Saccharomyces cerevisiae S288C: one gene and its partners. The gene in region 1 interacts genetically with each later gene. Each region holds a gene or a part of one and is shown in the gene's direction. Other genes may lie near its edges. The genes, in order: RIT1, CAT5 and BUD27.

Region 1 (3,760 bases):
AATCTTCTAAAAGATCGTTCAATTTCTTCATAAATGTAGCATTTATATCCCTTAATGGAAAAAGTTCATAGATACCTTCCTTGGCATCCTCTCTGTTACAGTAATAAAAATAGCAACCAATAGCTGTCCCAGGTCTTGTTATGACCAATTGTGACATTAGCTCATCTAGTGATTCCAGAATTTCCAACAATGGTGATTTATACTCTAGATCAGAGGACTCTTTAAACATTGTCTCTGATAGTTCAATGCAAAACAAAATTCCTTCATGGATATCAAACTTCCTATAACCTGTTTCATCCACTTGATCGTTAAGTTCTCCACTATTGCCAAATGCATTAGTGACTGAGCGCATAATATTCCCGTTTTAAAATCAGGCTTAGAGTCACTTAACAAATCATAGCTTTACTGTTGAAAACTAGAACAGTAATACAGAGAATGTCATTTGGTAGCTACCTTAAAGCAATCCCTAATACATGAAATTGAGAATCTTCAAAAATTAAGGTAATCAAAAGTAAAAAAATATCTCCCGGGGGCGAGTCGAACGCCCGATCTCAAGATTTCGTAGTGGTAAATTACAGTCTTGCGCCTTAAACCAACTTGGCTACCGAGAGTCAATTAACTGATAACCATTCAATTATGAGTCCGTCTAATATCATGCTTATTCACAATTTTAATATAAGCAACCTTGCAGAAGTGACCTGTTGTCAAAACGGAATATCAACTTGATTGAGGGGATGATAATTATCCTATATATTCTATAAATATGGATTATACTGAATATTGGGTGAATAATTTGATAATTGTTGGGATTGCATTGTTGATCAAGGCTATATAATATTATGTACACAGAATATATTAGAAGTTCTCCTCGAGGATAGAAATCTCAAAATGGAATCTATATTTCTACATAATAAAATTACGATTATTCCTCATTCCGTTTATATGTTTCATTATCCTATTACATTATCAATCCTTGCACTTCAGCTTCCATTATACTTGATAACTATTTCTCAATCCTTATTTTATGTTTTTCCACCGCATATTATAATATGCCAGTAATATTTATTCTTATTAATGGTCGTTAATTTCACACCAGGCGTGTTTATAACTGAGTAATCACTTTAAATTTGAGCATCCGGTTTTGCACCGTTAATAGTATCATTGTTAATTAGTAGGCAGGTTGTAGTATATTCTAAGAATAAAACAGGTGCCCTTAATCTGTACAAGAGAAGAGTATGAAATATGAATTACATTGGGCATATCGACTATACGCAATATATCAGTAGCTTCGACGATTTAGGTAGGTATAAGGGTTTCCTATACCTGTATACACAAATTTCAAACTTATGGCCGAGCCAGATAGTCCTTTAGCTATGCCTTCCATTACTTCTTGGAAAGCTTGTTGCATTTCCCGTCATATTATGTACGGTTACAACTTTTTTGTTGATTTCCATGCCCGAAGGGAGCTTAGCATAGCCGCTATTACATAATCTTATCATCTTCATCAAAAATGAACTTCTAAAATCATCCCACCACTCTATTGCTCTTCATATATGCGTTGTATGTTTATGTGCTTTGTTCTTATTACTGCTTAACTGTGACTGGGCCCATTATTCATTGTTCATATGCAGGAAAAAAAAAGCATGCTTGAAAATTTTGATCTCTTGATGGATGGTATCGAGGCTATCAAAGAGATATAGATCCAGAGTACAGTTTAGTATATCCGTGATGGATGAAAATATTTATCTTTCGCTATCTCAGATAAATAAAGACATCAGAAAGGAAAACAAGTCCGTAAGGAATCGACTTCAGAGTATTCTTTTAGACAATAAATTTTTGCAAGATCGAGTTATCCCTATATTTCCCCATTATCCACTGATACCCAATGAAAGATGTGGGCTATGGTACTGTAATCCATCAAGTTTCAAACAGACCAGTTACTTTAAGAGCACAGACGGGCATGTCAACCAATGGGACTTTAGCACCCGAAGATTGAACTTTCATTTGTTAGAGACCATTCGAGATAATAAAGGTATTATAATTGTCGATAGTACTAGAAGAGGTAAAAAAATCCCAGATGCTTTGAGTAAGACTGTCCCCATATGGTGTGCTGTATTAAATACGTTAATGCTTCAGGAAACAGAAAAAAATGTTGCCATCGATAAGGTACTGTATCTTCCACCTGAGACAGTTCCCAAATCAGAATATGACATGATTAAGCGAAAAATACCCGAACTAGTTGCTAAACTACAAAAATTGAATATTATAGATTCTAAGAAATTGAACGAACTGTTTATGGGTAAGTTATTGCGGCCCATATGGGTTCACCCTGGTTCTTCACTTCTAGACCATTCTGTTGATTACTTCACGGGTGAAGTACAGGAGTATGAAGCCTGGGAAACACCTGAAGACCAAAACATAATACCCATTATTTTGTGCACGGTAAGCTATCAAGCACAAGATGGTATGGATAAAAGATACGGCTTCACTTATGTGCAGGGTGCAGCCGACGATCACGAGCTCTGGTCTTTTGGTTTGGATTCAAATATGTTTTGGGCCCATATAGAATACCTAGGCGACGCAAGTTATTCAGACGACCAGTTACATGATTACATCATGGATTTGGCTGCTGCAAAGCTGAGAAATCAGTGTTATATACAAGATAAAGGAAGCTTGGATGAAGTCTTTGGAAACATTGATAAAATTACGAATGAGATATCTCTAGGAAAAGTGAGTTCAGGCTTAACCATCAATAAGAATTTGAAACAGAAATTGAAGTCAGAATATGGTAAAGTTATAATTTTCAGTAATTCGGTGACTGTTGCTGAAGATACAGACGATGAAGAAGAAAGTGGGACAGATCCGTTTATTTCAATATACAAGTTGCAAAGCGGAGACAAGAAAAGTTCAAAAGCTTTACGATCCACATTCCCTAGAATCCATGGAGAAATTCAATCGTTGTTTACAAATCGAGATGAAAAAATAAAGCCAATGCTAATATGCTGCAATACAGGTACTGATATGTCAATCGGTGTCATCTTAAGTATCCTTTGTACCAAATATACTGAAGAATGGATGCTTACGTCGGAGTTACCGGACATCAGTAAGCTTATTGTAAGAAAACACTTGACAAAATTGATTTCCCACTTGAAAGGACGCAACGTTAACCCTTCAAGAGCAACACTGAACAGCGTCAATAGCTTTTTAATGTAGTGAGTTAGGCAATACTGAGATGTTTACTCGCAATGTCACTGTATATTTTAATATCAAATAACGTCAGTTTTTATTAGAAAAAGAGCGGGTTACCGTTTATCCTGAACAGAAAAGGTTCATTGAAAAAGAGCCCTTCAGACATTGGCTAATGAAAAGAATATGTAAAATCAAGAACAAATTAACGAAGCTCTCCTTCGTTAACAGTCCACTACCTAAATTTATGATTAATGTGGATAAATAGACTGGTTAAACATCCATCCTACAGTGTTCTGAGGTTTTACACGAAGAGGCTCTGCACTGTATCAGTGAAATCGCTGCGTGAATTTGGTGTACTGCCGAATAGCACAATATGTCATTCTGTCTATCCCCGAAGAACGTATGTAATGGGTAGGGCTGTCATAAATGATATTTTAATCAAAAAATCCTATTCAACTCACACGGTATGTGCAATTGATCGATCAAAAGATGAAAATAATGGGAGCGCTTATGACAAATTCGAGGCAAAAGGTATACCTATAGATGTTCACACATTAAAACGAATTATCAG
Region 2 (2,887 bases), on another chromosome or scaffold:
ACCCAACTCATATGCATGCCCCGTGGTAATAAATTCTTTGCATCGTACGCAGGATGGAAATTGTTCATTGGGAGCAGTTGATGCCATTTTAATATGCCGCTCTCTCCACCACTAGTACCTGAATCAGCTATCCTTGTCTTGTACAAAAAGCTATAATAGAGATAAATGTCAAAACCGTGGTGCTTTTCAGTTTCTTAAAAATTTTAGTGATACCGATCAATTTTTTTTTCTATTTTAAGCAACTGTGAATTGATCAAGAATGTTGACTGATCAAAACTCAAAACACCCTATTTGGCAAAGAAATTTAGTCTGTTTGAGCAGTCCTACCCTTGGAAAACGTTCAATGAATTAGCCAGTTGGCTGATACAATCTCATCAAAGGTCAATAGAGAAAAGCACACGTTAATTATATCAAATCTAAACTCGAGAACTGCCTTTTTTTTTTTTTCATTTTTCCTAATACGGCATAAAGCGCGCAATAATAAGGGCACTTTACACCTTCTCATCGTGGTAACACATACGAAACCAAGAACTAGCCTCTACATTATCATCTGTTCGTACGCTTAAACTGTGACCAAATATGGATTACGAGAAGTTTCTGTTATTTGGGGATTCCATTACTGAATTTGCTTTTAATACTAGGCCCATTGAAGATGGCAAAGATCAGTATGCTCTTGGAGCCGCATTAGTCAACGAATATACGAGAAAAATGGATATTCTTCAAAGAGGGTTCAAAGGGTACACTTCTAGATGGGCGTTGAAAATACTTCCTGAGATTTTAAAGCATGAATCCAATATTGTCATGGCCACAATATTTTTGGGTGCCAACGATGCATGCTCAGCAGGTCCCCAAAGTGTCCCCCTCCCCGAATTTATCGATAATATTCGTCAAATGGTATCTTTGATGAAGTCTTACCATATCCGTCCTATTATAATAGGACCGGGGCTAGTAGATAGAGAGAAGTGGGAAAAAGAAAAATCTGAAGAAATAGCTCTCGGATACTTCCGTACCAACGAGAACTTTGCCATTTATTCCGATGCCTTAGCAAAACTAGCCAATGAGGAAAAAGTTCCCTTCGTGGCTTTGAATAAGGCGTTTCAACAGGAAGGTGGTGATGCTTGGCAACAACTGCTAACAGATGGACTGCACTTTTCCGGAAAAGGGTACAAAATTTTTCATGACGAATTATTGAAGGTCATTGAGACATTCTACCCCCAATATCATCCCAAAAACATGCAGTACAAACTGAAAGATTGGAGAGATGTGCTAGATGATGGATCTAACATAATGTCTTGAATGCAGTAATCCTTTGTACGTACTCTGTCTATATTTCCCTAACTTTTAAGCAACTGTATAATTTTTCATATACGGGATTTTCAGGAAAAAAAACAATAGAAATCTATAAAACATGTTTCCTTATTTTTACAGACGAGAGTTTTATTCTTGTGAAAACGTCGTTATCTTCTCCTCCAAACCAATTCAAGGAATAAAGATATCACGTATACGGGAGAGATACATAGAAATTATGTTATCCCGTGTTTCAGTTTTCAAACCTGCCAGCAGAGGCTTTTCCGTCTTATCATCTTTAAAGATAACAGAACATACATCAGCAAAACACACCGAAAAACCTGAGCATGCTCCCAAGTGTCAGAATTTATCAGATGCTCAGGCTGCATTTTTGGACCGTGTTATTCGTGTAGATCAAGCTGGCGAATTAGGTGCAGACTACATCTACGCTGGCCAGTACTTCGTGTTGGCTCATAGGTACCCTCACTTGAAACCTGTGCTAAAGCACATATGGGACCAGGAGATACATCATCATAATACTTTTAACAATTTGCAATTGAAAAGGAGAGTCAGGCCTTCCTTATTAACGCCTTTGTGGAAGGCAGGAGCCTTTGCAATGGGGGCTGGTACCGCATTGATTTCTCCAGAAGCAGCTATGGCTTGTACTGAAGCTGTCGAGACAGTAATCGGAGGGCACTACAATGGCCAATTGCGAAACTTGGCCAATCAATTCAATTTAGAAAGAACAGATGGAACAAAGGGTCCAAGTGAGGAAATCAAATCCTTAACTTCTACTATCCAACAGTTCAGGGATGACGAGCTAGAGCATCTAGACACCGCTATCAAGCATGATTCGTATATGGCAGTTCCATATACAGTTATCACTGAAGGTATTAAAACGATTTGCAGAGTAGCTATATGGAGTGCCGAAAGAATTTAACCACCAGAAAGTGGCATACATCAGTCGCGTTATGCCAGAAAAGGAGAATTGAAAGGAAAACGGTTTGATAAATGTCCTAATTAAACTATCATGTATAAAATTATGTATCATCCTTACGCATTTTAACGCTATATGACCAATATGACAGGAATAGATACACTGTCTATAATTATGTAAATGGGGTATGGGTTCATAGTCTAAGGGTGAGTACAAACTGGATCTTTAACAAGAGTAACAGTTAATTAGAGCAAAACTATAGTACATATAGCTTGAAAAAAACAAGCGGCTTGCCATTGGAAGAACATTGCATAAAAACGGGGCCACTGCTAATAATAAAGTGGTAATTAAAAAGAAAGCTTTTGTTCAAGGTTAAGAAGGTATAAGGAAATGCCGAACGAAGATAATGAACTTCAAAAAGCAATTGAGAACCATCATAATCAACTACTAAACCAGGATAAAGAAAATGCTGACAGAAATGGGTCTGTTATAGAAGACCTCCCATTATACGGGACAAGTATAAACCAGCAGTCTACCCCTGGAGATGTTGACGATGGAAAACACTTACTGTATCCAGATATTGCCACCAACCTACCACTGAAGACTTCTGACAGACTTTTGGACGATATACTTTGCGATACTATTTTTCTCAATTCTACAGAC
Region 3 (3,760 bases), on another chromosome or scaffold:
TTGAAGAAGAGGATGCATTCGCGAGTTGCTTTCCGTTTTCAGTCTTAAGGGCATTTTGCTGTTGTTGTTGTTGTTGCTGTAACAGTTGCTGCTGTTGCTGCTTGGTGAGCCTAGAAGATTTGTCTTCAAGTTGGTTATTCCTTTTATTGTTCTTTGCCTTCGCTGCCGCTGCTGCAGCAGCTGCTCTCTTAAGTTCAGCTTTCCTTAGTTCAGCTTCCCTTTGTTCGACCGTAACAATCGTGGGGCGTTTTCTCTTGTGGTTAATCAAGTCATCGTCTTCTCCACTAATGTTCAAAGATCTTTTCAAATTCTTAATTTTTACCCTTTGATCGAATATTTTTAATTCATCATTAATCCAATTTAGGGAAACGTTCTCACGTTTAGCAACAAGCAGGGCCAAGTCCTTCGCGTTTTTCAATTCTTGATGCAACGCCCTTAAACGCTGACTGTTTAAGATATCTATACGTCTTGTTTTCCGCGGATGTCTCACTTCTCTTCTTCTGAAACAGACGTAGGGATCAATCTCTTCTTTTTCACCCGGCCTTTCAAATTTCAGCTGCGGAAAAATTTCGTACCCGTTAACTTCAATTTTTCTTTCTCTCCAATAATCATAAATTTTAGAGCCGAACTTCTCTATCAGCTGAATTAAAGGTCTCGTATTCATTTGAGATACGGGGTCGAATTGTGTGATAAAATGTGTTTTATGAGAATTTATTTCATGATTCAGCTGGTTTCTTAGATTGAAATCAGCCATATCTGATTTTATTAATGTGGGCTTCAATTCTTCAAAAGAAAGTATACTTTCCGGATCCATACTCAAGAATGGTTGACGCTCGTGAATAGCATGTTCAAAACTGGAACAAAGTATTTCAAATTCGTCTTCAGTTAAAATGTCTGATGAACCTTTGTTGACTTGTTCATTTAAAAAGGTCTCATCTCTTTCATCCATATTGTAGTTGGTACCACAGCAATCCTCCACAGTGGCAGAAAATTTGATGTAGCTGGTGGTCTCCTGGAAACTGCCCGTATAAAACTTATCATATTCATTCCAAGTCATAGAAGCATCCGGGGTCGGAATATAGTCTTTGTGCTTTGTATGACCAGAACCCATTTGTAATATTCGATGCAAATGGACCTCCTTTTCTTCATTTTTTTCTACACCAGTTTCGATCTCAACCACCTCTCTCTGTTGCAATTCATCTTTATCCAGGTGTTTCAGATCGTTAGGCAGATATATCTTAAGATGTTGCTTCACAGATATTTTTCGATGTCTAAATCGACTATTACTGCTACCAGCACTGGCTCCAGCACCTGAATCGCCTTTTGAGAATGAATCTAGACCGTCATCGTGCGCACTCCTAGATCCAGACCGCCTAGTGCTTCTACCAGATTTATGCGAACCGTCATTGATCTCTATAGCGTTTGAAGGTGTCGGCATCGTTATTATCGTTATTTGCTAATGTTATTACAATGTTTTTATAAGCACGTGACTATAATGTTACCCTATCGTGTGCAATTTTTATTTATGTTGACCTGAAGTCCGCAGTTGCCGTACAATGTGAGAATATGGACAAAAGGAAGGCGAGGGTGGCAAAAAGAGGAGTCAAAAATAGATAGCGTTTATTTTATTATAGCAGCTCAGAGGAACGCGATGTGGTGTAATAATATTGCGAGTGTCTAATGACCACCAGAATACGAGCACAGTTTTGGCTGATTTTTGCAAACTTTTTTGCTTTTGTGTAGTAACCTCTCACAGGTATTGCTTGTATGCTATACCATGTGATATGTAATAGTACAATTTTGTGGTCGGATCGTGCTTTTGCCACCCGCGGCCGACGGAGAAAATTTTTTTCCTCTATCCCTTTGTTTCTCGCTTACTCCTGCGGTATGGGGTGCTAACTATGGTGAGCGAGTATGGGAAGAAGTAGCGATATACGGGTAACCCTAATGTTTGGGTGTTTTGAAATTTATCCTTGGAGGATAGGCGATGAGCTGCTCTTAAAGGTTTTAACAGAGAGTGTTGTATGAATATTCTGTAGAATTTTATAGTAAACAGGTATCCTCAGACTGTAATAGCCATGGATTTGTTAGCGGCCAGCGTAGAAAGTACGTTGAAAAATCTGCAAGATAAGAGAAACTTTCTTTCGGAACAAAGAGAGCACTATATAGATATCAGAAGCCGACTGGTTAGATTTATCAATGACAATGATGATGGCGAAGAAGAAGGCGAAGGCCAAGGGATGGTGTTTGGTGATATCATAATTTCTACGAGTAAGATATATCTAAGTCTAGGCTATGAGTATTACGTTGAAAAGACCAAAGAGGAGGCCATCACGTTTGTTGATGATAAATTAAAACTAATGGAGGACGCCATTGAGCAATTTAACCTGAAGATCGAAGAGGCTAAAAAGACCTTAGACAACTTGAATCACATGGAGGACGGAAATGGAATTGAAGAAGACGAAGCGAACAACGACGAAGATTTTCTGCCCTCTATGGAGATTAGAGAAGAACTAGATGACGAGGGAAATGTCATAAGTAGTTCCGTTACCCCTACAACAAAGCAACCATCACAATCGAATTCCAAAAAAGAACAGACACCTGCAGTCGGTCCAAAGGAGAAAGGATTAGCAAAGGAGAAGAAATCAAAGTCATTCGAAGAAAACTTGAAAGGAAAGTTATTGAAAAGGAACGATGAAGTAAAGAAAAAAGTGCAGCCATCTAAAGTAGATACAGAAAACGTGTATACATTTGCCGACTTGGTCCAACAGATGGACCAACAAGATGAATTGGAGGACGGCTATATTGAAACTGATGAAATAAATTATGATTATGATGCGTTCGAAAACTCCAATTTCAAAGTCAATGATAACTATGAAGAGGATGACGAGGACGAAGATGAAGAAGAGTATCTAAATCATTCTATTATACCTGGCTTTGAAGCGCAGTCCTCATTTTTACAACAAATTCAACGCCTACGCGCACAAAAGCAATCCCAAGATCATGAGAGGGAAGAAGGTGACGTTAATAAATCATTAAAACCTATTTTGAAAAAGTCTTCTTTTGCTGAGAATTCAGACAAAAAGCAGAAAAAGAAACAAGTCGGGTTTGCATCTTCTCTAGAAATTCACGAAGTCGAAAACTTGAAAGAAGAGAACAAGAGGCAGATGCAATCCTTTGCGGTGCCCATGTATGAAACCCAGGAAAGCACAGGTATCGCTAATAAAATGACATCGGATGAGTTTGATGGTGATTTATTTGCTAAGATGTTGGGTGTCCAAGAGGCCGATGAAGTGCATGAAAAATATAAAGAGGAACTGATAAATCAAGAGAGACTTGAAGGGGAAGCAAGCAGGTCGAATAGAAGAACTAGGGTGTCCAGATTCCGGAAGGATAGAGCTTCTAAAAAAGAAAATACGTTATCAACTTTCAAACAGGAAACGACAAGGTCAGTGGAGAACGAGGTAGTGGAAAAAGAGCCTGTTGTGGGGGATATTATAGAAAAAGAACCTGTTGTGGGGGATGTTATAGAAAAAGAACCTGTTGTGGGGGATGTTATAGAAAAAGAGCCTGCTGTCACCGATATAGTGGAAAGGGAGCCTGCTGTCAACGATATAGTGGAAAGGAAGCCTGTTGTGGGGGATATTATAGAAAAAGAACCTACTATCAACGATATAGTGGAAAAAGAACCGGAAATTAACAGCAAGAGCGAGTTTGAGACTCCTTTTAAAAAGAAAAAGCTAAAATCACTGCAAAAACC

Evidence for each region.
Region 2: mutations in RIT1 (region 1) and CAT5 together harm fitness more than expected from each alone (negative genetic interaction), as found in Saccharomyces cerevisiae (3 studies listed by BioGRID).
Region 3: mutations in RIT1 (region 1) and BUD27 together harm fitness more than expected from each alone (negative genetic interaction), as found in Saccharomyces cerevisiae (2 studies listed by BioGRID).

What each region holds. Positions count from the first base shown.
Region 1 is NC_001145.3:834,779-838,538, reverse strand, and holds RIT1 (tRNA A64-2'-O-ribosylphosphate transferase), read left to right. Parts: upstream 1-1,671; coding exon 1,672-3,213; downstream 3,214-3,760. Other genes in the region: ATP-dependent DNA helicase YKU70, read right to left, coding at 1-352; AEP2 (Aep2p), read left to right, coding at 3,441-3,760. UniProt on the Saccharomyces cerevisiae protein: tRNA backbone modifying enzyme that mediates initiator/ elongator tRNA discrimination. This enzyme modifies exclusively the initiator tRNA in position 64 using 5'-phosphoribosyl-1'-pyrophosphate as the modification donor.
Region 2 is NC_001147.6:558,370-561,256, reverse strand, and holds CAT5 (putative monooxygenase CAT5), read left to right. Parts: upstream 1-1,525; coding exon 1,526-2,227; downstream 2,228-2,887. Other genes in the region: GTPase-activating protein RGA1, read right to left, coding at 1-87; IAH1 (isoamyl acetate-hydrolyzing esterase), read left to right, coding at 580-1,296; ubiquitin-specific protease UBP2, read left to right, coding at 2,615-2,887. UniProt on the Saccharomyces cerevisiae protein: Catalyzes the hydroxylation of 2-hexaprenyl-3-methyl-6-methoxy-1,4-benzoquinol (DMQH2) during ubiquinone biosynthesis.
Region 3 is NC_001138.5:88,908-92,667, forward strand, and holds the start of BUD27 (prefoldin-like protein), read left to right. Parts: upstream 1-2,078; coding exon 2,079-3,760. Other genes in the region: EPL1 (Epl1p), read right to left, coding at 1-1,438. UniProt on the Saccharomyces cerevisiae protein: Involved in gene expression controlled by TOR kinase and nutrient signaling. May also be involved in positioning the proximal bud pole signal.